Linked DNA regions of Oryctolagus cuniculus. Each later gene encodes a partner of the first gene's protein in a complex. Links are inferred from orthologs where the notes say so. Each region holds a gene or a part of one and is shown in the gene's direction. Other genes may lie near its edges.

Region 1 (4,295 bases):
GATACGGAATAAACATAAACATAATGGTGTTAGAGTCCCAAGTGTTTCTTGTACTCTTAGACGGTTCGTGGCTTAAGGATTTGTGATTGAAGAGATTTCGCGGGTTGGAGCTGAAAGGACGTGGGGTAGGAATTGCTGTTGTGCCGTTAGTAGTTATGCGATCTGCAGACACGTGCCCTTAAGACTTGGGATCCTCATCCGAAGAATAGAATTGATCGTGTACTTAGGTCATAGCTTTGGCAGGAAGATGATGTGGAGAGGATGTGAGACAGTGATGCCTCTTAGGGAGTTGACCCTGGAAAGATGCCAGCTGAAGTCGAGGGGTGCGCATCCGCAGAGGCACACGGGTACTTGCCGCCTCCTGACGTCGGAGGGGTGTGTCTTAAAACTGTTCAGATCGGTTTAAAAGAGCACTTGAGAATCTTCAGATTGGATGATAATACCTATGTTTAAAAAGGAGTAAGTAGAAGTGATTGTGGCCATAGAAGCTGTGGGTTTGAATTTGGGTTTCAAGTTTCTATAGTAGATACAGAAAGGTTAGTAAATTGTAGCATAAAATGTAGAAAAAAGATACAGACTTGGATAATCATTTCATCTAGGAGCCTTGGATGATACTGGGTATCTAGATTTTAGTAATGTTAATTTTGTCAAAATGTTTGAGTTATAAGTATTTACTTTGGGAAATCACTTCGTAATAGTAAAAGTGATTGTAGGGGCTGGCATTGTGGCGCAGCAGGTTAAATGGCTCCCTGCAACACCAGTATCCCATATGGGCACTGGTTTAAGTCCTGGTTGTTCCAATTTTATCTGGCTTCCTCTCATATGCCTGAGAAGGCAGTGGAAGATGGCCCAAGTGCCTGGACCCATATCACTCACAAAGGAGATCCGGATGAAGTTCCTGGATTCTACATGGCCCCGGCCCAGCCCCAGTCCTTAGCAGCTATTTGGGGAATGAAAAGGCAGATGGAAGATATCTCTGTTTCTCCTTCTCTCTCTGTAACTCTGCCTTTCAAATCAATAAAGTAAATCTTAAAATCATCTACCTTCTAAAAAAAAAAGTGATTGTGATATGTGTTTGGGCGACAGCATGTGTAGTTTTGCTATAAAGAGATGTGGAGAAATGGGACATAAAAGGTAAGTGGTGTAGAATCCAGAAGACTTTTCTTTATAAATGAAAAGGTACTCCAAGATATTGGGAGAGAAGTATTAACAGGGAAGGAAAAATAATGTGGGTTGTTGAGAATATAGTGCTTAATTAGAAAAGGGTGGCATCCATTCTGAGTTGTAAGTGTTAGCTTTGAAACTACCGGAAGAAAAGGGGAGTGCTCTGTCTGTAAACACTAAATGTGACAGGTTTGTTTTGTAGTTCTTCTGTGAATCTTTGGTTTGTTTTTGTAGGTGCTTGATCTTCCACAATGGGTGAGCCACAGCAAGTGAGTGCACTTCCTCCACCTCCTATGCAGTACATCAAGGAATACACTGATGAAAATATTCAGGAAGGTCTAGCTCCCAAGCCACCCCCTCCAATCAAAGACAGTTATATGATGTTTGGCAACCAGTTCCAATGTGATGATCTTATTATCCGCCCTTTGGAAAGTCAGGGCATCGAAAGGCTTCATCCTATGCAATTTGATCACAAGAAAGAACTGAGGAAACTCAATATGTCTATCCTTATTAATTTCTTGGACCTTTTAGATATCTTGATAAGGAGCCCTGGGAGTATAAAACGAGAAGAGAAGCTGGAAGATCTTAAGCTGCTTTTTGTCCATGTGCATCATCTCATAAATGAATACAGACCCCACCAAGCAAGAGAGACCTTGAGAGTTATGATGGAAGTCCAGAAACGACAGAGGCTTGAAACAGCCGAGAGGTTTCAGAAGCATCTGGAGCGAGTGATTGAGATGATTCAGAATTGCTTGGCCTCTTTGCCTGATGATTTACCCCACTCAGAAGCAGGAATAAAAGTAAAAACTGAACCAATGGATGCTGATGATAGCAACAATTGTACTGGACAGAGTGAGCAGCAAAGAGAAAATTCAGGTCATCGAAGGGACCAGATTATAGAAAAAGATGCTGCCTTGTGTGTCCTAATTGATGAAATGAATGAAAGACCGTGACTCATGTTAGTTTTCTTTTTTCCCTTTTGGTAAATAGTATAATATTACTGGTTTATTTTCTTTTGGGCAGTCTTAAAATGAATAACTAAAAGTTTAAATGGCCTTTTTCTTGACTCTCCAGCTTTTTCACTTACGTAATGCCATAGGCAGCAATTTCAGTATATAACAAGTGTAGGCAAACAGGGACCCGTAAATTAAGAATAGTGACCTGAAAAAGAAAATGTTTGCTGCAGATGTGTGGGGCATTCTTTTTTTTGGAGTTGGAGTAAAAGTTTGACAGTGTCCTTGGTAATAGCAAACTTTCATCCTTAAAAAGTAAATTTGTCATTTGCTTTAAGAATGAGGGATAGATACTCTAAAATGTGAAATTATGTAATATTTAAAAATTTACCTAATCTGCATAAGGTAGTATAGCATTTTAAAAGAGACCCATTTGTTATGAAACAAAAACTTTATTTTTCCTTGTGATTCTTGTAACTCTACTACCTCAGTAGACTCTTTTTCCTTATCTTGAACCTTGGTAGGTCCCATAAATTGGTTTTTCTCAGTCACTTGGGTAGAAAGTCTTTGGTCAGCTTAGTTAGAAATTTTAGATTACAGATTTTAGTAATTAAGAGGATTGAAATTACAGATTTTTAAAAATATTTGTAATTCTTTGAAATTACACATTTTTAAAGCTAAGCTCAGACATGATCAAGGCTGGTAGACTGCAGTGGGAGAAGGGTTTGGTGGGAGCAACTGCTCGATGTCCACCAGTGATTCGCGCTTCTTCTTGCTGAGATATCACTGTTCAGCCAGTGACCACATTTCCCTACTGCCCTATATCTGTGTGAGGCCATGTGACTAAGTTCTGGGAAATGGAGTCTGTGCCCTAAGATTTCTTGCACGATCTTCCATTCTGTTCCCCAGTCGGCTAGGTGTGTGCCCACACCCATGCAAGCCTGGTGACAACAGTTTATAGTAATTTGGTTCTAGAATGTGAAGATTAGGTCCTCTTTTAACTCCATTCTTCCTTCTACAGCTAACTTAATGTGAACAAGAAATAAACTGTCTTGGGTACTGAGATTTTATTTCTGTACTTTCTTTTCTCCTCCCTCCTTCCCCCTCCCGCCCATTGGCCTCATATCAGGATCTTTGCCTGCTACTCTCTGACAGAAGCCAGTGGTTCTCCATTGTCCTTTTGGACCAGCAGCATTAGCATCACTTGGGGATTTGTTAGAAATCAAGCTCCTCTGGCTCCACCCTGGACCTTCTGAACCAGAAACTTGCTGGTGCACAGGGCGTGGCAAGCTTGGTGTTAAGCCTTCCTCCAATTCTGATGCATGCTCAAGATTACCATCTGTAGAGATGGGCCTTTTCCTGGGTGATGTGCTTTTGATTTCTCCCTCATTTCCTGTTTACTAGCATAGGGATTTGCTGCATTAAGGTCTCACCAACTCACTGTAAAATGGTTACAGGCCAATTTCCCTGTGTGAAATATGCATTCTTTGCATTCAGACAGAGGCTGTTTCCAATTAACACTTCTAGCAGACAAGAACTAATTAACAAGTCTCAAATTTAAGGTTTTTTTTTTTTTTTTTTTTTTTTTACCAACTGGAATATGCTTGGTGTAGACCTTGGGACCAGAGACCCCCAAAGGACATTCTGGTTTCCCTTAATTAAATTAAATTTGTTCCACACCTCCTCCCTCATACCTTGGTCAGTGAGCAAGATGGAAATGGCTCTTGAACAACTCAACAACCGTTTCTCTTTTGACTTTTTAAAAAATACATTGCTGTGAGAGGAGTGTTGGGCTGAGGTACAAAACCAATTTGGGACCACTTTGAAAATCCTTGCATGTAAGAAATGAAATCATTTAACATTGTTAAGAGTCACAACAGTTACTTGTAAATTTGTGTGTGTGTGTGTGTGTGTGTGTGCGCATTGAGGGGAGAGGTATTGATGGATTGCAATGCCATAGGTTAGCTTCACTTTAGCCCAGAGCTAATCAAGGAGTTCTGTGCAGTTGCACCTGATGTAACTCTTGATATTATAGTGGAATGAAACGTTAATGTTCTGATAGTTGCTGCAATTTTAAAAGCTTACCATACATGGACTTTTACTCTTGTGAGGATTAAAACACATCTCTGGATGTCTGTTTATGCTGAATATTCCTGAAAGATTGATTTGCCAGGGCCA
Region 2 (4,279 bases), on another chromosome or scaffold:
TTTAATACTGTGTAGCTTTGCTACTCATAACATCTCTGAGCCTCAGTCTCCTTAACTGAAAAGGGTGGAGAGGATGAGCTGCCATTGGTAAACCGCTTACAATGGCGGCCGGCATGCAGGTAAGGTATACTATTTGTATTTTTTTTTTTTTTTGACAGGCAGAATTAGACAGTGAGAGAGACACAGAGAAAGGTCTTCCTTCCGTTGGTTCACCCCCCAAATGCCTGCTACGGCCGGCGCTGCACCAATCGGAAGCCAGGAGCCAGGTGCTTTCTCCTGGTCTCCCAGGCGGGTGCAGGGCCCAAGCACTTGGGCCATCCTCCACTGCCTTCCCGAGCCACAGCAGAGAGCTGGACTGGAAGAGGAGCAACCGGGACAGAATCCAGCGCCCCAACTGGGACTAGAACCTGGAGTGCAAGCGCCGCAGGCGGAGGACTCGCCTAGTGAGCCGCGGCGCCGGCCTATTTGCATTCTTACACACATTCCTCACTGTTCCCATCTGTTGGTATGTTCTCCAACAGTGCTGGGCATCTCTACCCAAATCTGGGATTTTATGCTCAGATTTTCTAACTCCAAAAATCTGCTACTCTCAGGCGTATGTACAGCACTTGACCTATCTTACTTTTCAGTTTTCTTTTCTGAAAATGAGAATGGATATTGTGCAAACGTGAATGACACAATGTATGTAAAGTTGCTTGCATGGTCCTTGGCATCTGACAGAGAGAGCTTAAGCCTTTTCTGGCTTCACACACGTGATTCTCACAACAGACTAACAACAAAGAAACAGAATCCAGGAAGTTAAGACTTGCCCCAGGCTTCAGAGAGAGCTAAATAGCAGCGCTAAAATCCGAACTGGGTCTCACTCCGAGCCAAGCCCCCCCCCCCCCCCAATAAAACCAAAGCTGCTTTCCCCATCATGAGTGCTAAAACTAAATTAACTCGTGCTGTTTACTGCACGCCCGTGTCTGAAGACACGCACCGGCTGCTGCCGTCCAGCGCACTGAAACCGCGACAGGAACCAAATCACAGGGTTTATTAACACCACTGTCACTAGGTCAAGTCGGCGACGCGGAAGAGATTTCAGTAAGCACAACAGAGCGAGCGAAGCATTTCTCCTCCAGCCTCCGGAGGAAAGAACGGACTGCGGGGATGCGGGGCTGCAAGGGTCCCTGCCGACGCTACGCGGCCCGGCCGTCGGCCGGCCAGGAGGCCGAGGTCGCGCCTGCCCGCACCGCCCGCTCCTCCCGCTCGGGTCTCAGGGCCCAGCTCTGCGCCCGCCCGCCCCTCACCTCAGGCTCCGGGCGCTCCGAGGCCATCACACAGCCTTCCCGCGCCGGCCCGGGCCAGTGAGGCAGATCCACTGTGACCCCTGACCTGGCTACCTCAGTACCGGGCCGGAACCGGAAGTCGGTGGGCGGGCCAAGCCCCGATTTCCTTGATTGGTGGACAAAACCCTCAGAAACTGGGAAACCGGAAGAGGAAGTGGTTGCGGCTGCCACGGCTGCCGCAATGCAGGTGAGAAGCGGGGTGGGCCTAGTGGCAGCTAGCTGTCTTTGGGTAACGCAGCGAGAGTGGGCTGGCTGCGGAGAGTTAGGAGTTGGACCGAAGAGGAGAGGGCGGAGGCAAGAGGACGCGGGGCCAGGGCAGAGGGGAGACGAGGCCAAGTGGAGAAGCGGCGCGGATGCTACGTGGGGGCGGAGTCCGCTGACAGGGGAGAGACTAGCAAAGTCGGGAGGGCGGAGGCAGCCGCCGCTTGTTTGGGGCTGGGAAAGCATCAGGATGTAGTTTGCGAAAGCCGAGATACAATCCAAGGGAGACGGCCCGAGAGAGACATGAATTGGCTCAAGCCTCAGCCTAGGCTGTTGGATGCAGACGTAACGGCGAATCTGCAATCGGAGAGAAGCCCGAAGGGTGAAGGAATTGTGGGCCGAGCTGGCCAGAAGCTAAGTTGTTATCAACTGAAACCTTGGGTGAAACCCAAGATGATGCTCCTGTCAGGCGCAGTGTGGGGTTGGCATCATTTTTCCCAGTCTGTGCCTGAGAGTTATTAAGACGGAGGAAATGAAGTAAAACGGAAGATACCCCCCCACACCGTGGGAAGGGAATGCCTGCAGACCCCCACTACTTGACATTGCTTGTCATGTGAGCTGGGTGGGTGGTTTTGCTTTTCACTTGTCGCTTTGCTTCTTGGATGGGGCAGTGTTTCAGTAAGTCCTTCTGGGTCAGCTGAGCTTGTGAAAGAGGCACAGGAATATTGGCACAGAAATAAAGGAGAAAGTTGAAACATCACCCACTAAGCACGAATGAGGAGCGAGGGGCAGGGGCGTGCAGAACTAGGGTTCAGAGAAAGCTTCATGTCCAGGCAGATTTCGCAGGGGCTGTGCTGTTGACAAGAACAGGGCAGATTCTAGGACGAAGGAAGCTAGGGCACACGTGCCACAGAAATGTGCATAGGATGATGAATCCCAGGCATTATGTCTGGCAGGAGTTTCTCAACAAGGGAGAGTAGGGCACGTGCAATACAGAGGAAAAGCAGGCCTGGATTTGGAGGTGTGAGAGCGAGAATCAGTTGGTAGGAGGACTTAAGGTCAGGTGAAAGGTCTAAGGGTTGGTGCTGTCTGTAACCCAAATACCAAAGATAGAAAATAACCTGGCTGTCATTCCAGTGAGATCCGGTGTTAGCCAACTGCGGTTGGCATACTCTCTCCGACGCTTTTCAGCCTTCTTCTAAAGGTGTCATGCTCATATCTCTCTGGGTAACCAGCCCATCTCTGTTGGTGCAGAGGGAGGAGAAGCAGTTGGAGGCGTCATTAGATGCACTGCTGAGTCAAGTGGCTGATCTGAAGAACTCACTGGGAAGTTTCATTTACAAGCTGGAGAACGAGTATGACAGGCTAACCTGGTAAGGGTTGCCAGGGCAAACTGGGGAGGGCTCCTGACGAGTAGTTCATCTCTGATGATGTAACCATTTATCAGTTTGCAGATGTCGGGTAATTTGGAAAGAGCTTGGTTTCCCAACATTTAGTAAGTGAAGTTTGGCTGAGGGCCTCCGTGGCAAGGAAGTAGAGAGCGGCCCAGTTTCCCAAGCCACGTTCTTTCTTTCTTTCTTTTTTTTTTTTAATTTTATTTTTATTTATTTGAAAGGTAGAGATATAGACAGAGAGAGACAGAAAGGTCTTCCTTCCGTTGCTTCACTCCCCAAACAGCCACTACAGCCGGCGCTGCGCTGATCCGAAGCTAGGAGCCAGGTGCTTCTCCTGGTCTCCCTTGCGGGTGCAGGGGCCCAAGCACTTGGGCCATCCTCCACTGCCCTCCTGGGCCACAGCAGAGAGCTGGACCGGAAGAGGAGCAACCGGGACTAGAACCTGGTGCCCATATGGGATGCTGGCACCGCAGGTGGAGGATTAACCAAGTGAGCCAAGGCACCGGCCCAGCCACGTTCTTTCTAGCTTTTGATTCTTTTTTTTTTTTTTTTTTTGACAGGCAGAGTGGATAGTGAGAGAGAGAGACAGAGAGAAAGGTCTTCCTTTTGCCGTTGGTTCACCCTCCAGTGGCTGCCACGGCTGGTGCGCTGCGGCCGGCGCACCACGCTGATCCGATGGCAGGAGCCAGCTGCTTCTCCTGGTCTCCCATGGGGTGCAGGGCCCAAGCACTTGGGCCATCCTCCACTGCACTCCCTGGCCACAGCAGAGAGTTAGCCTGGAAGAGGGGCAACCGGGACAGAATCCGGTGCCCCGACCGGGATAGAACCCGGTGTGCCAGCACCGCTAGGTGGAGGATTAGCCTAGTGAGCCGTGGCGCTGGCCGCTTTTGATTCTTACCCTTTTCATCTCTGGTCAGGAGTTCTCTCTCAGTGGGTCTTCCCACTATATCTCAGTCCATGCTGGATCTCTTGCCACTAATGTGGCTGTCTTTTAGATCCAGCCTACTGCTGAAGTATGGCTCCTGTTTCCCGGCAGAAAGGAGGCTTTCACCCAGTTTCTGATTTTTTTTGTCATAGAATAGCCATGGTTCCTGTTTTCCAGTGTTTCTCACCCCATTCAAACAATGAACTGCCTTTTTCTGCCTCCGTCAGGAGCTGAAAGCGTGTCCCTCTTTCCTAACCCCGCATTCCTGTTCCAGGTCTGGGTCCTGCCGAGGCTCGTGATGGGGATGAGTCTTTTGGGGGTCAGTCTCAGTTTTCCTAATCTGAGGACTTGTCAAAGGTTATCTCACTGGGAGACACCCCAGGGAAGGGCTAGAACATTCTGACACTTTCTTACCACCACTAGGCCCTCTG
Region 3 (3,332 bases), on another chromosome or scaffold:
TTCTTCTTGTGTCATACCAGATTGGTGCCCTTGGAGAGAATTAGGAATTTGGCTGAACTTTACTGACGGACCCTGATAATTAGGGCATCCCATGTACAGATTCATTGATTCTAGTGTCTTCCATATTATCCTAATACATGAAGTGAACATGCCTTAGGCTTAATTCTCTGAGCCTGTATTAAGTTAAATATGTAACAGAACTGGTGCCTTGAAATTGATTTTTTTCTTTTAAATATTTCTATTTGAAAGGCAGAGTGATAGAGAGTGAGGGAGAGACAGAGAGCATGAGAGATACCTTCCATCTACTGGTTCATTCCCCACAGGGACATAAAGGCCGGGACTGAGCCAGGAACTCCATCCAGGTCTCACACATGGGTGGTAGGGGTCCAAGTACTTGGGCCATCTTCTGCTGCTATCCCAGGGACATTAGCAGCGAGCAGGATCAGAAGCAGAGGAGCCAGGACTTGAACCAGCACTGGGACATGGGTTGCCAGCATTACGATTAGTGGCTCAACCCAGTGCATCACTACACTGACTCATTAAAATAACACTTTGATCATTGGAATTCTAATATTAAAAAGTTAGGTGAAGTTTCCTGGTTTCATTAACTTGAATCTAATTTTCTGTTTGTGTAAACCCGAGATTTTCTCATACTAATTGAGTAGTCTTTCTGCAGAGTATGCCCAGCTTTTTGCAGCACTTATTGCACGAACAGCAAAAGATATTGATGTTTTGATAGATTCTTTACCCAGTGAAGAATCCACAGCTGCGTTACAGGTAACAACCTTTTTTCTTAGAGAATTTTACTGGTAGCAGAGAATTTTGAATTGAAGGAGATAGATTTATTGACTTTCATTGTAATATTCAGAACTATTTTATGATTATTTTTAAGGATTTACTCTTGGATTTACTTGAAAGACAAAGTCAGAGAGGGAGCCGGAGACAGAGATACCTTCCATTCACTGGTTCACTCCCCAAATGGCCACCACAGTCTGGCCTGGGTCAGGCTGAAGCCAAGAGCCTGGAATTCCATCTGGGTCTCCCATGTGGGTGACAGGAGCCCAAGCAGTCATGTGGGATGCTGGCATTGCAGGAGGTGGCTTAACCAACTGCATCTCACAACACTGTCCCCATACTTTCCATACTCTAGTTCACTTCCGAAATGATCACAGCTGGACCAGGCTGGAGCCAGGAGCTTCTTCCGGGTCTCCCATGTAGGTGCAAGGGTCCAAGGACTTGGGCCATCCTTTGCTGCCTTCCTAGGCACATTAGCAGGGAGCTGGATCTGAAGTAGAGCAGCCAGAACTTGAACAGGCGCCCTTATGGGATGCTGGTGTGGCAGATGATGGTTTACCGTGCTGCGCCATGATGTCAGCCTCTAAGATGGGCGTTTCACTAATTCAGTGCTAGTATTGTCTGTTGAAGATTGTGCTGAATAGCTGTACAGTAGTTGTCCAATTTTGAGTTAGAAGGAAACCTTGTATGTTCTGGTTTATCTTTTTCTAGCAAAGAAGGAAAGGATGGTGGCTTTCTGAACGAGGAATAAAATAATGGATAGCAAAGGCAGTTTGGAACAGAGTCATACTAGATAGTAAGATCTCTTGAAAATCCATTACTTTATAATCATATGGAGGAACTTAAGTTACCTCACTTTGAGAATTTCTCCTATTAAAACTGTATCACTGGTTGCAAAATCACCGAGATTTAAAAATAAATACCTCTACTGCAGTCTCTTCTCCACTCTAAAAGATTGTCAAATTTATGTCTTAAAAGGCTGCTAGCTTATATAAGCTAGAAGAGGAGAACCACGAAGCTGCCACCTGTCTGGAGGATGTTGTGTACCGAGGGGACATGCTTCTGGAAAAGATCCAAAGTGCACTCGCTGACATTGCACAGTCCCAGCTGAAGACGAGGAGCGGCACCCACAGCCAGACCCTGCCGGACTCATAGCACCGGCACGTGCCGGCGGCTAAGAACTGTCTCAAGGCCATTAAGAATTCTACCTTGGATTAAATGTCAGCCTTACCAGCAGTTACAGAAACGTTAAACGTTATGACATGTTTTACCTTTGTAGCTGTTTTTAAAATCTTCTATTTTTACTCTTGATAAACAAGCATATAAAGTTGTGATTGAACCAGCTTTAAACTATCAGTTTTTTTTTAATCTGAGATTACTAAGGCAGATACTGCATTTGTGATCAAAATACAAATAAACATGCACTGTTCTTTGGTGACAAAGTTTGTATGTTGTTTAAAACTCAAATTTCTGTAATAGTCCTGGGGCCAGCACTGTGGGTGGCAGGAAAAGCCACCGCTTGCAGTGCTGGCATCCCATATGGGCACTGTTAAGAATCTGGGATGCTCCTCTTCCGATCCAGCTCTCTGCAATGGCCTAGGAAAGCAGTGGAAGATGGCCCAAGTCCTTGGGCCCCTGCATCTGCATAGGAGACCCAGAAGGAGCTCCTGGCACCAAGCTTTGGATCCACCCAGCTCTGGCCATTGCAACCATTTGGGGAGTGAACCAGTGGATGGAATACCTCTCTCTGTCTCTCCTTTCTCTCTGCCTCTCTGTAACTCTTTCAAATAAATAATCTTAAAAAAAAAAAAAAATCGGTAGTCCTTTCATAAATGAAAACAACCCTGAAGCCAGAAGAGACATTCTCAGTGCAGAGATGGATCTTTCAGTGGGCTGGTATCTTTGCCACTATGGAGGTGGCATTGTATAAATTTGGAGCTTTGAGAAAGGAAGTTTCTGAAAATTTGTCAGTTCTCAGAAACCCAAAGTGTTAGTGTGGCCGGGTGAGAGTAGGTCACACTGAGGCAAACCTTTGCTCTTGCAGAACCTCATGTCCCTTTGAATTCACCTCCACGTTTGCTTTGACTGAGAAAGCCTTGACTCAATGAAATTCCCAGGCTGCTGTGAGTTTTCTTCATCCTGATTGGCTTGTTCTCTTTATCTACAGGCCTGTATTCTGCTCTCATTACCCCCCCCCCCCCCCCCGCTGTATTTTAAGAGGGCCATCCTCCCATAGCAGTTATTTCAGAGTTGTTTTCTCCATCGCTCCTCAGTGTGTCAGCATGTCAGCTACAGTGACTGATGCAGCTCTGGGGTCTCCTGCAGTCCACGGCTTCTGCCCAGAAATCTGAAGTTGAAATATCTTCCACACTGTCCTGCCTCTGTCTCAGAATCTCTAGGACTTCACTTGAATCCGTTGCTATCCAGAGCTGGCTCTGCCAGAGAACCCTCAAGATGGTAGTCTGCTGCAGCAGGCTTCCCCACAGCTCTTGAGAAACAAGGCATTTCAAATGCCGAGAACACCCACTTTAGCAGCA
Region 4 (4,527 bases), on another chromosome or scaffold:
GATTTGGCCCGGCCCAGCTCAGTCATTGTGACCATTTGGGGAGTGAACTAGTGGATAAAAGATCTCTGTGTCTCTTCCTTTCAAGTAAATAAATAAATCTTAAAAAAAGAAAAAAAAGAAAGAAACAGCTTAGGAAACCCACATCCCATAACTGAATGCCAGGGTTCGAGTCCTGGTTCCACTGCAGATTCAGGCTTCCCACTAATATAGACCCTGAGAGACAACAGGAGGGAGCTCAAGTCATTGTGTCCCTGCAACCCACCCGGAAGAACTACACTGAGTTCCAGGTTTGGTCTGGCCCAGCCCTGGCCGTAGCAGGCAGCAGGCGTTTGGGAAGTAGATTAGGGGAAGCAAGTTTTCTCTCTCTGCCTTTCAGATAAAGATACTGTAGCCAGAAGAGCAGGGTTCAATTGCGTCAAATACTGCTTTTCTACAAATAAGATAAGCTCTGAGAAGTCGGTTAAACAACTCAGAGGTCAAGGCTTCTCCCCTATGAGAAAACAGTCAACATTTTTCAATCATCTCTCCCTCCACTTGGCCCCTAAACAATACTGCTTTTTCTGTTATGAACATTCGGTTTCAGGTCTCAGCTTCCAGGCTGGGCAACTCTGACCCCTACACGAATGCTATCGTTTCCAGAGAAACGAGACTTTCTTTCCCATGGAATTTACTGTTCTAATTGTCTCTCTCTTGGTTTAGACTGTAAGGTCCCGAGCTATATCTTGTTTATTTCTGCACGCAATCCATCAAAACTCCCAGCATCGTGCAAAGCCGGTAGCGAGCATCCCATATTTACAAAACCGTTGGACAAATGCTAGGAGAACTTGGTGGCCTGAGCCATCACTTCCTATTGGCCTAACTTGCGGGACGCGGCGAAAGGAGCACTAAAAACAGGGAGCGGGCCTGCAGGGTTCGGTCTTCCACCTGCCCTGCTCTCGGTAGAGAGCAACGTGCAACCCGGTTTTGAATCCAAGGTACTCCCCTGCCGGACACCTGTGGGCCGTCCACCCCCCAACCCAACTACTGCCTTCCCCGCGGACGCTCACCCAGCCGCGTGGCGCGCTCCCGAGGCTTGGCGGGCCCGTCCCCAGAGCCGTGCTCGGTTTCCAGCTCCTCCTGTTGCTGCCGTGCTTGCTGCAAAATCCGCCGGCTCAGCCGGGGCCCCACATACTCTTCCTCCTCTTCCCCGGTTCCGCGGCCCCGCCGCTTTTCCCGGGCACTTGACCGCACCGCGTTCCCAGCCAGGATCTGCTCGGCCAGGGGCGCGTGTTTTTCCTGAGCCCCAGCCCCACGGGCCGCTTTGAATTTCGGCATTTTTCTCGATAATGCGGCCCGGCAAACTCACACGTGGGTACGGCGACAGCCCAGGATGTGCGCTCGGCAATGAACGCCCAGGTCTGTGCCGAGAGGCCACGCGCTCACAGCGCCCCTACGCGTTCGGAGGCCAGAAAAGCAGCCAGCACCACTGCACTCCCGCAGGGAACTCCCGAGTCCTGGAGCCGGAGCCCGGAACAAATGCATTGCCTTTGACGTTGACGTCTCTAAATGGTGGCAGCCCGGGCCACGCTTTCCTAGCTTTCTGGATCTAGGACCAGGGTGGCCAACCAAACGGAAACTTCCGGAACTGCAAGCCAGGGGAGGGGCTGGGAATCGGGCCGATGACCTCACTGGAGGCGTCACCCAGAGTCGCTGCTGGTGCGTCTAACCGGCGCTCTGTTTTTACGTACTTCCGGAGCCCCTCCCGCGACCCGAGCCTGCGGTAGTTTTTAGTTCTTGTGGGCTTCGGGAGAGCGCTGTTTCGGCTGTGTGGTCGTGCCGCTTTCCAGGCCTGACGCTATGGGAGTGACCTGGTAGGATCACAAAGGGTTTTATGGGGCGGGACTTGGGTCGTGAAGGTCCCTTGAAACCTGGAGGGTCGGGGACTGAAGTCCGCCGTTCTCCGGGAGCTGAGCAAAATGCCCTCGGGCTGCGTGGATGTGGGCACTCTAAGGGCCGTGAGTCTCGGGCCCTAATGGGCCCCATTGCTCCTGGAAGGAAGCAAGGAAAAGGTTTTATCTCAGGAACCTTATGCATGGGTTGTGTACCCTCTTCTCTTTTTCTTGGTACGTCTTGCTACCCTTGAAATCCTAGTAGTGCAGAAAGTGGGACTTCGAGGTCGGAAACAGGGCTTTTCAGACTAGAACCCACCCGCAGGTAGGGTTAAAGCTGATAGGAGATAGGCAACGAGGCGGTGTTTGTGTGTTCGCCTCCCCCTACCTGTAGCCACCCAATAATCAGCCTGTATCTGGTTCTCATTCGGGTCTACAGGATCAAAATGGAAACTACTGGGAATTAGAAGATCAGGTTTCCAGACACTTTACTTCCTCATGACCTGCCTCCTACTACGTTTATACGGTTGATTCAGTTTCAGTGCACTTAAAAAAAAAAAAGATTTATTTATTTGAAAGGCAGAGTTAAAGAAAGGCAGGGGCAGAGAGAGAGCTTCCATCTGCTGGTTCTCTCCCCAAATGGCTGCAATAGCCGGAGCTGGGCCGATCAGGAGCCTGTAGCTTCTTCCAGGTCTCCCATGGGGGTGCAGGGGCCCAAGCACCTGGGCCATCTTCTACTGCTTTCCCAGGCCATGACAGAGAGCTGGATCGGAAGTGGAGCAGCCGGCTCTCAAATCGGCACCCACATGGGATGCCAGCTCTACAAGCAGCTGCTTTACCCTCCACGCCACAGCACTGGCCCCCAATGGACTTTTAAATCTCTGAACATGTTCTCAAACCCAGATGGAAGAGGATGGGGTGGAGGGGAAGGGTATGAACCCAGGGATCTTGGAGACCTTAGTTCCAAGGTGCTGGGTCTCTGCACCTTTTTTCTTCTTCTTCTTTTTTTTTTTTTTTTTAAGTCTTGGTTGTGAGCATCTCATCAGAGAGGCCTGGAGGCCAGGATATCTGAAGCCAGGAGTTATAGGCTTCTCTTTTTTTTCTCTTTTTTGAAAGATTTGAGAGGTAGAGTTACAGACAGTGAGAGGGAGAGACAGAAAGGTCTTCCATCTGCTCGTTCACTCCCCAGATGGCCCCAATGGCTGGAGCTGCGCCAATCCGAAGCGCTTGGGCCATCTTCTGTTGCTTTCCCAGGCCATAGCAGAGAGCTGGATTGGAAGAGGAGGAGCCAAGACTCGAACCGGCACCCATATGGGATACCGGCACCACAAATGGAGGATTAACCTACTGCACCACAGCACTGGCCCCCTAGGCTTCTCTTTTAAAAATAGTTGGGGGTAGAGGGAACACAATTTCTCCCAGTAGCCAGGGGTTTCTGGGGCTTGCACTCTTGTTTCCCCTACCACAACCCTCCCAAGCCCTGCAGAGTGAGGGTGCTGGTGCGGGATGGAGGTGGAAAAGTTGCAGCACAGGGGTTGGGACTGTGTGTAGCAGATTAAGTTACTGCCTGCAGTGCCGGCATCCCTTATGGGCACTGGTTCAAGTCCTGGCTGCTCCACTTCCAATCCAGCTCTCTGTAATGGCCTGGGAAAGCAGTAGAAGATGGCCCAAGACCTTGGGCCCCTGCACCCACGTGGGAGACCTGATGAAGTTCCTGGCTTTGTTGCCGGCCATTCCTGGGGGCGCCCTTATCAACTTTTCCAAAATCCTAGGACCTCTGTCCCTTGTAGCTTCAGGGATTCTCTGAAAGTACTTCAGAAAGTTCACAGAAAGTATGTATTATGAAAAACTATGCAATGTTTTGGCACCAAAATCTTTCTTTTTCTTTTTTGACAGCCAGAGTGGACAGTGAGAGAGAGAGACAGAGAGAGGGAAAGGTCTTCCTTTGCTGTTGGTTCACCCTCCAATGGCCGCCGCAGCCGGCAGCCGGCGCACCGCGCTGATCCGATGGCAGGAGCCAGGTGCTTCTCCTGGTCTCCCATGCGGGTGCAGGGCCCAAGCACTTGGGCCATCCTCCACTGCACTCCCTGGCCACAGCAGAGAGCTGGCCTGGAAGAGGGGCAACCGGGACAGAATCCAGCTCCCCGACTGGGACTAGAACCCAGTGTGCCGGTGCCACTAGGTGGAGGATTAGCCTAGTGAGCCGCGGCGCTGGCTGGCTGGCGGCTTCTATTTCCGCATCTTTACAACGTGAGGGAGGGGTGGGGTCGTAGCTTCTGGCTTGGCTGAGCCACAGTTCTGTGGATAGAATGGCTAAGTGAGTATGTGTGTGTCTGGGTACTGACACTGTGGTTCTCTCCTTCCCAGTGTGTCCCAGATGCCTGTGGCCGAGGGCAAGAGTGTCCAGCAGACCGTGGAGCTCCTCACCCGAAAATTGGAGATGCTTGGGGCAGAGAAGCAAGGAACGTTTTGTGTGGATTGTGAGACTTATCACACGGCTGCCTCTACCCTTGGAAGCCAAGGTCAGTGAGATGGGTATGTAGGACGGCTGGAATGTGCCTTGGAATTCACGGGCATTAATGAGAGTTCCTTATGCTTTTGTGTATTCCAGAACACATGGCAAGATGTCTTTGTAAATTTATTCATTCTTGGTCTTTTA
Region 5 (3,809 bases), on another chromosome or scaffold:
CAAGTCCCTGTGTTTTTGTTTGTTTTTGTTTTTTAAGATTTATTTATTTGATAGGCAGAGAGAATCTTCCATACACTGGTTCACTCTGCAAATGCCCTGAGGGTAGGCCAGGTCAACCCGGGAACCAGAAACTCCATCTGGGTCTCCCACACAGTTTGCATGAATCCAAGTACTTGGGTCATCATCTGCTGCCTCCCCAGCACATTAGCAGGAAGCTGAATCAGAAGTTGGTGTAACTAAGATTTGAACCAGTGATCCCATGTAATGGCTTGACTCCCTCCACCATAACGTCTGCGGCCCTCAAGGCTGGTGTGTGTGTGTGTGTGTGTGTGTGTGTGTGTTTTAAATAGGTATTTGTGTACCAGGTCATCATTCTGTTGACTTTCAGATTTTAGCTCTACACCTGACTTCTCACATATGCTGTAGTCTTATATTTTAGGGGCTATCCTTAAAAAATAGCCTTCATACTGACATGTTTTTTTTTCCCTGCAAACCAAGTACATTATTGTAGTCCTACTACAATTTTTCTTCTCAGCCTAGAAACCATCATATGTTGATTTTTGCTCGTTCTTTAGATCTAACCTGTCGTTGTATCTTATGTTGACTTCCTCTGAAATACCTATTCTCGTCCAGCCTCCCTCCTCTTTTTCCTACCATGTGTTTTTTGCAGTGTTTGGCCTTGCTCTGGTTTCTTCCTGCTGTCTACTCCCAACAGGTTCTCTCCTGCTCAGTAATCAGCCACATTTCTGCTGTAACCATTTGGCTATATAGCTGTCATTAAATATCAGTGAAACATCTGACTTGGTTGGTAAGATTATCCACTTTGCAGAAAGTCTTTACTTTGAAGAGTCTACCATATTAAATTGGTCTTTGAGCAAATCCAAATCAGAAAGTTTTATGTAAAAGATTTCTGGAGTCTGGATTTTCAAATGAGCACCCTTAGAAGATATGATTGGGAGATTTTCCAAGGAAACGTCCACATGTTTCTGTGGTGCTGTGCCCTTGGGGCTTAAAGCACACCGTTAGCTGTATTGTCGATAGCGTTGTGCTTTGACAACTTTCTTGAATGTCGAAGTTTTGTTTTATTATTTCAGAATAATGAAGACTTTAGCAGGAGTGTTTTCAGATGATCTGCAGCAGGATTACTAGACCCATTAGGGAGTGGTCCACTTCTCACACTATTCAGCGGCCTCATGGAGTAGAGCGGCCATCCCGCTGTCCCAATAAACCATCCCATTATGCCATACAAATCCCTTTTATTGCCCGCTAGGGCACCATTTAGTGCAATGTGGTAGTAATTTAATGCCTAGTGGCCTCAGAGAGTTACTGCTACGCTGCAGGAGAGCTTCCATTTTTCCCTGGGAATGATTTATACATTGGGAGACACTGGCTGACCTGCTGTATAACTTGGTTGCACAGATTAAACCTTGGCATCATCTAGTGGGCCCTTACTGAGCCATTTCTCACACCTGTGCTTGCCAAGAAGTATGTTAGCATCTGAGCAGACTTGGTGCTCCTGCTTAGAGGGTCCAGGTGCGTGTGTGTGTGATGTTAGCTCACAGCCTGTTTCCTTTTCTCTCGGTTTAATGTGTGTCTGTAAGATCCAAAGCTGTCTTTTGTTCTTCCCTGGATATAGTGACATACAAGGTTTTCTAGTACATTTATGTTATTAAATGTTCTTGGACTTGACCCTCATCATCATAGGGGAGAGTTACATACATAGTTATTTTATTTCCAGTTTACAACAAGCCATTATAAACCATTCTATATTTGAGTTACTAGAGTATTATAAAATAGAAATTGGAAACTTTGTTTTTCCTGAAATGAAAGGTGATCTCATGATTCTGCTCTCATGGTTTGGAGATGCATTATGAATGCCTTAGCTAAGGCCCTTTCCAAATTTAAAGATGTGAGTTTTTTTTTTTCCAAATTAGTAATTTTATAGGGGTTAGAAATGCATTCATTTATGTTTCTTGCTAAGTCCATGTCTCCCCTCTTTCACCTTGTCTTTGATTGATCCTTTACTTTCCACCAGCGTGGATTGTGGTTTTTAGTCCATGCTTTTAGCTGTGGAGTAAATCTTAGAGGCCCTTTTTTGTGATGTTATGGCGATGCTATCTAGTCATATTCATATTTGTTTCTTGGTTTTAACTCTCATTTCAGGCATAAACTTTTGAAACGTGCAACAGGACCCACTCGACCTCCCACAATATCTCAACCAGGGTTCAGTGCAGGACCATCATCATCTTCGTCTTTAGCACCTCCTGCTTCTTCTAAGCACAAAACAACAGAAAGACAGGAAAAAGGAGACAAGTTGCAAAAGAGACCCTTGATACCATTTCACCATAGGCCCTCCGTGGCTGAAGAGTTATGCATGGAGCAAGATACAGCAGGACAGAAGCTAGGGTTGGCAGGGATAGACTCCTCCTTAGAGGTATCCAGCAGTAGGAAGTATGATAAGCAAATGGCCGTGCCTTCCAGAAATACAAGCAAGCAAATGAATCTGAATCCTATGGATTCACCTCATTCCCCTATTTCCCCGCTGCCGCCAACACTCAGCCCTCAGCCACGAGGTCAGGAAACGGAGAGTTTGGACCCGCCATCTGTTCCTGTGAACCCAGCCCTCTATGGAAATGGGCTAGAACTCCAGCAGTTGTCTTCTCTGGATGACAGAACTGTCCTCGTAGGCCAAAGACTGCCTCTGATGGCAGAGGTCAGCGAGACAGCCTTATATTGTGGGATTAGGCCCTCGAACCCAGAGTCATCAGATAAGTGGTGGCAAAGTTTTCGTCTCCCATCCAGTGATGATGCTGAGTTCAGGCCTCCAGAGCTCCAGGGTGAGAGATGTGATGCCAAAATGGAGGTGAACTCAGAGAGTACTGCATTGCAAAGGTAAGGCAACTGCCTGCCGCACCTGCCTGTTCTCATTGCAAGGCACAGACTCCCAGGAGTGAGGCCTCTCCTCCTGATCTTGCTTGCCACACCTTCAGACCCAGAATGAAAACAGCTTTCTTCCTCATTCCAGATTCCGCATGTAGAAATCAGATGCCTTGTTTGTGATGAGGTTTAACATACATGTCATTATTTAAACACTCTGGCATATAAAGGTCTCATTGTGCTGTTTTGATATGCTTAGTGTAAGTGTACTTTTGGCCTTCTATTAGTCAAAGAATATAGCTTTAGGAAACTTTCCACTTTGCAGTCAGTGACTCGCTTGTATGCCAACACCATGAGGAAGGCTATGTGAGCATTCGGGTGGTATGTTGTGAGTCTAGTAATAACAACTTAATATTTATACTGCCTTTGAGCCACCCATTACTCTACACATAGCAGTTTATTTAGTCTTCACCACAGCTACGTTATTATGTTAGTTTCATGCCTCAGAAACTGGAGTCATGCAGCTATTAAGTGATGCAGATGAACCTAGACAGTCTGTACTGAGAACCTGTGCTTTCAAGGGGAATCATTGAAATAAGATGCAAAATCACGTATTCTTGACAAAAGCCTGTTCAGTTTTGCTTATTCACAAATTTAATCTATAAAAGAAAATCCCTCCATAAGTGAGTGTTAAAGTTTAGTTTCAGTTTTATAAGTGCTTTAAATCATAAATGTTGCTGTTCTTTTGAAATATCATTTTGCCTTATTCAAATTGTCACTTATTTTCCCTTTTAGACTTCTAGCACAACCTAACAAACGGTTTAAAATCTGGCAAGACAAGCAGCCCCAGACGCAGCCGCTCCACTTCCTTGACCCATTGCCTCTCTCACAGCAACCTGGAGACAGTTTGGGAGAAGTCAATGACCCATATA
Region 6 (3,809 bases), on another chromosome or scaffold:
GGACCCGATCGTGGCCCTGTCCTGGCTGCACAACGGCGTGAAGCTGGCCCTGCACGTGGAGAAGGTGGGTGCTGCCCGCGCCCGCCCCAGCACCCAGGCCGCCGTCCCCAGGACCCGGCCCTCACGCTGAGCCACTGGTATCCCAGAATTCCCTGCCACTCAGGGGCTGTGCTGCGCCTGCCACGGGTGGACGGCCACGTGGTGTGAGCCGGCGCCCACGGCCACGGGTGGAGTCCAGCACAGGCTGCAGGCGGCTCAGCGACTGGGGTCGGGTGCAGCCGGGGGTCTGGGGGAGGGGCCTGGGGGAGGGGCCGGGGCAGCCGGGGGTCTGGGGGAGGGGCCGGGGCTCCCGCGTCTCTCCGGGCGTGGGCGTGATGTTAATCTGAAGGCCTGATGTGGCACTGGAGCGGCAGCAGCCCCCCACGATGTGGCTGGGCCTGAGAGGCACACGCGTGTCCCCCCTCAGCCCTGTCCGGTGCACGCGTGTCCCCCCTCAGCCCTGTCCGGCACACGCGTGTCCCCCCTCAGCCCTGTCCGTGGGCTTCCGCGGTAGGCGTGTCCCGGGCTCCCGCACAGGCAAGGCGGGGTCAGCGAGGGCGGGGCTCCGGTGGTCTGGGTGCGCGGGCAGGGGCGGGGCTCCGGTGGTCCGGGTGCTCGGGCAGGGGCAGGGCTCCGGTGGTCCGCGGGCGGGGCTCCGGTGGGGCGGGGGCGGGGCTCCGGTGGTCCGGGTGTGCGGGCAGGGGCGGGGCTCCGGTGGTCCGCGGGCAGGGCTCCGGTGGGGCGGGGGCGGGGCTCCGGTGGTCCCGGTGCGGCGCGCACGGCAGCCCGGCCCCTCCGCCTCTCCCGCAGTCGGGCGCCTCCAGCTTCGGCGAGAAGTTCTCCCGCGTCAAGTTCTCGCCGTCGCTCACGCTGTTCGGCGGCAAGCCCATGGAGGGCTGGATCGCCGTGACGGTCAGCGGCCTGGTCACCGTGTCCCTGCTCAAGCCCAGCGGGCAGGTGCTCACGTCCACCGAGAGCCTGTGCCGCCTGCGCGGCCGCGTGGCCCTGGCCGACATCGCCTTCACGGGCGGCGGCAACATCGTGGTGGCGGCGGCCGACGGCAGCAGCGCGTCCCCCGTGCAGTTCTACAAGGTGTGCGTGGGCGTGGTCAGCGAGAAGTGCCGCATCGACACGGAGATCCTGCCCTCGCTCTTCATGCGCTGCACCACGGCGCTCAGCCGCAAGGACAGCTTCCCGGCCATCACCCACCTCAAGTTCCTGGCCCGCGACATGTCCGAGCAGGTGCGCCGCCCGGGCTCCGGCGCCCGCGGCGATGGGCGTCGGGAGGCCCCGCCCCCGCCCACGCGCTCGCCCAGGGCCCCGCCCCCAGCTTGCTCTGCGCCCCCCCCCCCCGCGCGCGCCCAGGGCCCCGCCCCCGCCCACGCGAGCTCGCCCAGGGCCCCGCCCCCAGCGCGCTCTGCGCCCCCCCCGCCCGCGCGCTCGCCCAGGGCCCCGCCCCCAGCGCGCTCTGCCCCCCCCCGCGCGCTCGCCCAGGGCCCCGCCCCCAGCGCGCTCTGCCCCCCCCCCGCCCGCGAGCGCTCGCCCAGGGCCCCGCCCCCCGCGCGCGCGCTCGCCCAGGGCCCCGCCCACGCGCGCTCGCCCAGGGCCCCGCCCCCAGCGCGCTCTGCCCCCCCCCCCCGCAGGTGCTCCTGTGCGCGTCCAGCCAGACCAGCAGCCTGGTGGAGTGCTGGTCCCTGCGGAAGGAGGGGCTGCCCGTGAACAACGTCTTCCAGCAGATCTCCCCCGCCGGTGAGGGCGCTGGGGCGGCCGCTCATGCCAGCCCCGCGGGCAGGCTCGGGCGCCGGGCACTGGGCACCGCACCGGGTCGGGGGTCTGGGCGGGGGCAGGCGGCGGGCGGCAGCCTGGGCAACATCGGGCGCCGGGTCTGGGGTCTGGGCGCAGGTGGGCGGGGGGGGGAGCATCGGGCACCGGGTCTAGGTGGGCGGCGGGCAGCGGCCTGGGGGGCATCGGGCACCGGGTCTGGGGGGCATCGGGCACCGGGTCTGGGGTCTGGGAGGGGGCAGGTGGTGGCCTTCCCCCAACACACAGCCTGCTCCTGCTCCCCCCCACAACCTGCTTCCCCCCACACACAGCCTGCTCCCCCCCCCACACAGCCTGCTCTCCCCACACAGAGACCCCCCAAGGACACAGGTGTTTTTCCCGCAGTGGACACCCCAGCTGGCCTGGAGGCTGCCCCAGGGCCCTGGGCTCCCCGGCAGCCGCCCCCCAGTGCTGGGCGCACAGGCAGGGCGTGACGCTCGCGGGGCCTGCGCCCGCCGTTTCTTCAGCCCTCGTCCTCGCGCAGCTGTGGGCCCCTGGGAGGCCGGGACGCTGGCTCTGTCCAGCCCTGTCCCTGTGACCGCGGCCCCGCCCAGAGCCCCGTCCCCCTCCCCTCGACCAGGCTGGGTCCCCACGCTCCCGCAGCAGGGCCCTGGGGGCTTGAGTCAGGGAGCCTGGGGCCCCGTCAGACCCGAGATGTGGCCCCTGCTGTCCACCCTCCTCGCCGCGGCGTCCACCCCGGGCACCTGCCACAGTGCAGCCTGGCTCGGGCAGGCACGGGGTCAGAGCCTTGGTCAGGGGCCGGCCTCCGGGGCTCCGCCGTGTTGGACGCGTCCTGTCGGCCCGCGGGGGCAGCTGTCCCCTGGGGTGGGCGGGGCGGGGCTCAGCGGCCACCTCCTCCTCCTCCTCCAGTTGTGGACAAGCAGCCCATGATCCTCAAGTGGCGCATCCTGTCGGCCACCAACGACCTGGACCGGGTGTCGGCCGTGGCGCTGCCCAAGCTGCCCGTCTCGCTCACCAACACCGACCTCAAGGTGGCCAGCGACACGCAGTTCTACCCCGGCCTCGGTAGGCGTGACGGGGGGGGGGGGTCAGCGTGTCCTGGGGTGGGGGGGTCAGCGTGTCCTGGGGCTGGGCAGGGGTCAGTGTGTCCTGGGGGGGTCAGCGTGTCCTGGGGCTGGGCGGGGGGGGTCCATGCCCTGGGGCTGGGCGGGGGGGGTCAGCGTGTCCTGGGGCTGGGGGGGGTCAGCGTGTCCTGGGGCGGGGCAGGGGACGGTCAGCGTGTCCTGGGGCTGGGGGGTCAGCGTGTCCTGGGGCTGGGCGGGGCGGGATCAGCGTGTCCTGGGGCTGGGGGGTCAGCGTGTCCTGGGGCTGGGCAGGGGGGGGTCCATGCCCTGGGGCTGGGCGGGGGTGGTCAGCGTGTCCTGGGGCGGGGCAGGGGGGGTCCATGCACTGGGGCTGGGCAGGGGTCAGTGTGTCCTGGGGCTGGGGGGGGTCAGCGTGTCCTGGGGCGGGGCAGGGGTCCGAGCCGGGCTCTTGGCTTGTGTTGACGTTTGGATGCCGGCCCTGAGCTCCCCAGGTCTCCACACCAAGCCTCAGTTTGCACAGCTGCCCAGCCCAGGCCCTGCCCCCGCCTCACGGCCTGCGGCGAGGGGAGGGACAGCCCCCACCCCCTTCCACCCCAGGCCCTTTGTGTCTGGCTCCTGGAAGGCCGAGGCACCCCTGCCGGGAGCCCCAGGTCCTGGCGGCTCCGTCCCTGTGGGAACAGGGGCCGGAGGCCGCGGGCAGCCACGGCCACACCCTGACCTGCCCGCCCACCCGCCCAGGGCTGGCCCTGGCCTTCCAGGACGGCAGCGTCCACATCGTGCACCGGCTGTCCCTGCAGACCATGGCCGTCTTCTACAGCTCCGCGGCCCCGCGCTCCGTGGACGAGCCGGCCATCAAGCGCCCGCGCACCACGGGCCCCGCCGTCCACTTCAAGGCCATGCAGC
Region 7 (3,809 bases), on another chromosome or scaffold:
GTCCCTGCCTCGGCCAGTGAGAACTGTGGTTAAGGCCTGTCAGGTGTGGGCACCCGGGGCTGGCCCCGCGTCCCCCCTGCTCTGCTCTGCTCTGCCCTACATCAGGGCACCCACTTCCTGTCGTATCCCCCCCACAGCAGGGCCCCCACTTCCCGTCCTGTCCCCCCCCAGCAGGGCCCCCACTTCCCATCCTGTCCCCCCCTGCAGCAGGGCACCCACTTCCCGTCCTGTCCCCCCACAGCAGGGCACCCACTTCCCATCCTGTCCCCACAGCAGGGCCCCCACTTCCCGTCGTGTCCCCCCACAGCAGGGCACCCACTTCCTGTCCCCCCGCAGTAGGACCCCCACTTCCCGTCGTGTCCCCCCCCACAGCAGAGCCCCCACTTCCCGTCCTGTCCCCCCCAGCAGGGCCCCCACTTCCCGTTGTGTCCCCCCCCCGCAGCAGGGCACCCACTTCCCATCGTGTCCCCCCGCAGCAGGGCACTCACTTCCCGTTGTGTCCCCCACAGCAGGGCACCCACTTCCCATCTTGTCCCCCTACAGCAGGGCACCCACTTCCCATCATGTCCCCCACAGCAGGGCACCCACTTCCCGTCCTGTCCCCCCCCCACAGCAGGGCACCCATTTCCCGTCCTGTCCCCCCACAGCAGGGCACCCACTTCCCATCTTGTCCCCCCACAGCAGGGCACCCACTTCCCATCCTGTCCCCCACAGCAGGGCACCCACTTCCCGTCCTGTCCCCCACAGCAGGGCACCCACTTCCCGTCCTGTCCCCCCACAGCAGGGAATCCACTTCTCCGTCGTGTCCCCCCGCAAGCTGCCTGCGCTGCGGCTTCTGTTTGAGAAGGCGGCGCCCCCGTCCTTGCTGGAGCCGCTGCAGCCGCCGGCCGACGTGAGCCAGGACCCGAGGCACATGGTGCTGGTGCGGGGCCTCGTGCTGCCTGGTGAGCCCGGTGCCCGCGGGGTGGGGGCTGGGCTCTCTGCTGCCGCCTCTCTCTGACCTGGGTTTGGATTTGGTCCTCTCCATCCTGAACCCCTCCTGTTGGCTCCCAGTTGGGGGTGGCTCGGCGCCAGGCCCCCTGCAGCCAAAACAGCCGGTCCCGCTGCCTCCTGCTCCGTCCTCGGGTGCCGCACTCGCAGCCCCCCAGCAGCCTCTGCCGCCCGTGCCGCCGCAGTACCAGGTACGGGTGTCACTCCTGGGCCTCAGGGAGGGCGTCCTCCGACATCGGGGCTGGGGGTGGTGGCCGCTGCCCCGGGGTGTTAAGAGGCTGGCGTCTGCCTCGTGGGGCTGTGGGGGTGCGCCCCATGGCGTTCACAGCCCCCACCAGCCGCTCCCCTCTGCCCCCAGGTCCCTGGGAACCTGAGTGCAGCTCAGGTCGCCGCCCAGAACGCCGTGGAGGCCGCCAAGAACCAGAAGGCTGGCCTGGGCCCCCGCTGTGAGTCCTGGGGCCGCCATGGACGTGGGCTGCGGGCAGGCCTCAGCGCGGCCCTGCGCCCACCACGCCCTCGCTCTCTCCTGCAGTCTCGCCCATCAACCCTCTCCAGCAAGCTGCCTCGGGAGTGGGTGCCCCCTTCAGCCAGGCCGCTGCGCCCCCACTCCCTCCAGGACCCCCTGGTGCCCCCAAGCCACCGCCTGCTTCCCAGCCTAGCCTGGTCTCCACTGTGGCCCCTGGCGCGGGCCTGGCGCCCTCTGCCCAGCCCGGGGCACCGTCCATGGTAGGTGCCTGGTGCCCCCATCCCGCTCCCTCCTGGCTGCCGGAGCCATGCAGTGTAGGGGACGAGTGATTGGCCCTCCTAGAAGCACCCAGGGGGGCGGGAGGCTTGTGGCTCGACGGTCACAGCTGCTCTGCAGCCTGGGGCTGCCCGGCCCAGCGCCGTGGGGCGTGGCGTCCTCGGATGCAGTGGGGCCGGGCGCGGTGCTGTCCCCAGGAGCGGCCAAGCGCTGTCCTGGGCGTGGGGTGAGAGGAGGAATCTGGTCCCGGTCTTCCTGACCGGCCGGCCTCCTGCAGGAGGTGGTCTGAGCCCGCGCCCTCCCCTGCTTCCCCTCCGCAGGCCGGCACAGTGGCCCCTGGCGGGGTGAGCGGCCCCTCCCCGGCCCAGCTGGGGACCCCGGCCCTCGGCGGGCAGCAGTCGGTCTCCAACAAGCTCCTGGCCTGGAGCGGGGTCCTCGAGTGGCAGGAGGTGAGTGGCCGCCGGGGCGGGGGTGCTGTCCAGGGGCGAGGCCTGAGGACACGGGGCTTGGGGCTGTGGGTTCAGGATGAGCGAGTGTTCAGAAGTGCGAGGGAAGATCCCAGAACTCTAGGACGTGGGGTGTAGACGGGCCTGGTATGGTGGGGACATGGGGTGCAGACAGGCCCAGTGTGGCGGGGACATGGGGTGCAGACGGGCCCGGCGTGGTGGGGACGTGGGGTGTAGAAAGGCCCAGTGTGGCAGGGATATGGGGTGTAGACGGGCCTGGCGTGGTGGGGACATGGGGTGTAGATGGGCCCGGTGTGGCGGGGACGTGGGGTGCAGACAGGCCCAGTGTGGAAGGGACGTGGGGTGCAGACAGGCCCGGCGTGGTGGTGTCTGGGGGGCCATGGACTGTGGGGAGGGCCTGGAGGAGGCCCAGCATTTGAGGCATTGGCAGGCCAGAGGAATGTGGGACGGGAGGCCTGGCGCAGGGCCGGGGCTCCAGCACACCCAGACCTTTGGGGCTGCCCAGCAGGGGCCGGGCCGAGGCCTGGGGCCCACTCACTGACACACTCTTCCTCCCGAGAAACCCAAACCCGCCTCCGTGGACGCCAACACGAAGCTGACGCGGTCCCTGCCCTGCCAGGTCTACGTGAATCATGGGGAGAACCTGTAGGTGCTGGGGGCGTGGCGGGGCAGGGGCGGGGCTCTGCTGGGCCCCGCCTCTCCTGACACTTGTGTCCTCCCCCCAGGAAGACCGAGCAGTGGCCTCAGAAGCTGATCATGCAGCTCATCCCCCAGCAGCTGCTGGTGAGAGGCGGGACCCCTATCCCCCGCCCCGCCCCGCCCCGCGCCTTCCTCGTGCCCCACGGGGCTTCCGTGTCTCCCGCAGACCACGCTGGGCCCGCTGTTCCGGAACTCGAGGATGGTGCAGTTCCACTTCACCAACAAGGACCTGGAGTCCCTGAAGGGGCTCTACCGCATCATGGGCAACGGCTTCGTGAGTGCTCCCCGGCCTGCAGGAAGTGCTGCCCCCACAGGGCTCCCGGGGTGGCCTTTCCTGGGGCGCTGTCCAAGTTGCAGGTGTACCCCAGGCCGTATGCCGGGGGTCCTGTGTGCTTCCACAAAGGCAGGCTAGGGCAGAGTGACGGCAGCCCTGTGCCCCCGGCTGGGCTCGCCTGCCCTGGGCGGAGCCTGCCCTGGGCGGAGCCTGGTTGCCTGGGAGACTGGGGAGGAACATCACCCAGCCTGCCCGCGGCCGGGATGCGACGCTTACCCAGGCAGCAGTGGCGGCTGCACACAGTGGGGAAGGGACAGGGGCAGGCAGTCAGCTCGCAGGGCCTGCCTCAGGGCAGGGCACCGAGGCGCAGGAGTGAGCTGGGGTGGCCGTGGTCGGCCCCCTCAGGAGCCCTGCGAGATGGGTCGCCCGCCCGGGCTCAGCCACCGGGGCCCGGGGAGGCGCCTGCCTTGTCCTGGCCGCTTGTCTGCACGGCCACCTTGTGCCCGCTGCCGCCTGGCCGTTCCGGGGCCGCAGGGCTGTGGGACTCCTGCCCTCCGTTCTCCTTGATCCCGTGCCTTCGGGCAGACGGGGTCTGAGCCCGCGCCCACCCTGTGAGCCCGCCCGCGGCCTTGGCGTC

What was found.
Region 2: MED7 (region 1) and MED8 share a complex: the UniProt entries of both Homo sapiens proteins name them as parts of the mediator complex. The link is inferred for Oryctolagus cuniculus from reciprocal best matches to the Homo sapiens genes MED7 and MED8.
Region 3: the proteins of MED7 (region 1) and MED21 are in contact, whole or in part, in a cryo-EM structure (PDB 7EMF), measured with the Homo sapiens proteins. The link is inferred for Oryctolagus cuniculus from reciprocal best matches to the Homo sapiens genes MED7 and MED21. Residues at the interface, in NP_001094286.1 of Homo sapiens: Phe72, Asp73, His74, Lys75, Leu78, Arg79, Asn82, Ile85, Leu86, Phe89, Leu92, Leu93, Leu96, Phe116, Val119, His120, Ile123, Asn124, Tyr126, Arg127, His129, Gln130, Arg132, Glu133, Leu135, Arg136, Met139, Glu140, Gln142, Lys143; in NP_004255.2 of Homo sapiens: Asp3, Leu5, Thr6, Leu8, Gln9, Val12, Asn13, Leu15, Ala16, Phe19, Ile23, Ile62, Ala66, Ile69, Asp70, Ile73, Asp74, Leu76, Pro77, Ser78, Glu79, Ser81, Ala83, Gln86, Ser89, Leu90, Leu93, Glu96, Asn97, His98.
Region 4: MED7 (region 1) and MED20 share a complex: the UniProt entries of both Homo sapiens proteins name them as parts of the mediator complex. The link is inferred for Oryctolagus cuniculus from reciprocal best matches to the Homo sapiens genes MED7 and MED20.
Region 5: MED7 (region 1) and MED13L share a complex: the UniProt entries of both Homo sapiens proteins name them as parts of the mediator complex. The link is inferred for Oryctolagus cuniculus from reciprocal best matches to the Homo sapiens genes MED7 and MED13L.
Region 6: MED7 (region 1) and MED16 share a complex: the UniProt entries of both Homo sapiens proteins name them as parts of the mediator complex. The link is inferred for Oryctolagus cuniculus from reciprocal best matches to the Homo sapiens genes MED7 and MED16.
Region 7: MED7 (region 1) and MED25 share a complex: the UniProt entries of both Homo sapiens proteins name them as parts of the mediator complex. The link is inferred for Oryctolagus cuniculus from reciprocal best matches to the Homo sapiens genes MED7 and MED25.

Annotation. Positions count from the first base shown.
Region 1 is NC_091437.1:44,110,450-44,114,744, reverse strand, and holds the start of MED7 (mediator of RNA polymerase II transcription subunit 7), read left to right. Parts: upstream 1-1,415; coding exon 1,416-2,117; 3' UTR 2,118-2,122; intron 2,123-4,295. UniProt on the Homo sapiens protein: Component of the Mediator complex, a coactivator involved in the regulated transcription of nearly all RNA polymerase II-dependent genes.
Region 2 is NC_091438.1:129,634,548-129,638,826, forward strand, and holds the start of MED8 (mediator of RNA polymerase II transcription subunit 8), read left to right. Parts: upstream 1-1,401; 5' UTR 1,402-1,509; coding exon 1,510-1,515; intron 1,516-2,764; exon of another isoform or gene 2,765-2,783; coding exon 2,784-2,902; intron 2,903-4,271; coding exon 4,272-4,279. Other genes in the region: KICSTOR complex protein SZT2, read right to left, coding at 1,290-1,316. UniProt on the Homo sapiens protein: Component of the Mediator complex, a coactivator involved in the regulated transcription of nearly all RNA polymerase II-dependent genes.
Region 3 is NC_091440.1:124,258,816-124,262,147, forward strand, and holds the end of MED21 (mediator of RNA polymerase II transcription subunit 21), read left to right. Parts: intron 1-676; coding exon 677-777; intron 778-1,773; coding exon 1,774-1,950; 3' UTR 1,951-2,609; downstream 2,610-3,332. UniProt on the Homo sapiens protein: Component of the Mediator complex, a coactivator involved in the regulated transcription of nearly all RNA polymerase II-dependent genes.
Region 4 is NC_091436.1:127,988,162-127,992,688, forward strand, and holds the start of MED20 (mediator of RNA polymerase II transcription subunit 20), read left to right. Parts: upstream 1-1,696; 5' UTR 1,697-1,836; coding exon 1,837-1,850; intron 1,851-4,235; coding exon 4,236-4,390; intron 4,391-4,527. Other genes in the region: BYSL (bystin), read right to left, coding at 1,047-1,314. UniProt on the Homo sapiens protein: Component of the Mediator complex, a coactivator involved in the regulated transcription of nearly all RNA polymerase II-dependent genes.
Region 5 is NC_091452.1:12,510,008-12,513,816, reverse strand, and holds part of MED13L (mediator of RNA polymerase II transcription subunit 13-like), read left to right. Parts: intron 1-2,163; coding exon 2,164-2,892; intron 2,893-3,672; coding exon 3,673-3,809. UniProt on the Homo sapiens protein: Component of the Mediator complex, a coactivator involved in the regulated transcription of nearly all RNA polymerase II-dependent genes.
Region 6 is NC_091447.1:58,472,338-58,476,146, reverse strand, and holds part of MED16 (mediator of RNA polymerase II transcription subunit 16), read left to right. Parts: coding exon 1-64; intron 65-849; coding exon 850-1,281; intron 1,282-1,682; coding exon 1,683-1,788; intron 1,789-2,730; coding exon 2,731-2,886; intron 2,887-3,644; coding exon 3,645-3,809. UniProt on the Homo sapiens protein: Component of the Mediator complex, a coactivator involved in the regulated transcription of nearly all RNA polymerase II-dependent genes.
Region 7 is NC_091449.1:7,728,365-7,732,173, reverse strand, and holds part of MED25 (mediator of RNA polymerase II transcription subunit 25), read left to right. Parts: intron 1-781; coding exon 782-944; intron 945-1,053; coding exon 1,054-1,181; intron 1,182-1,348; coding exon 1,349-1,436; intron 1,437-1,522; coding exon 1,523-1,716; intron 1,717-2,052; coding exon 2,053-2,181; intron 2,182-2,758; coding exon 2,759-2,844; intron 2,845-2,924; coding exon 2,925-2,982; intron 2,983-3,064; coding exon 3,065-3,172; intron 3,173-3,809. UniProt on the Homo sapiens protein: Component of the Mediator complex, a coactivator involved in the regulated transcription of nearly all RNA polymerase II-dependent genes.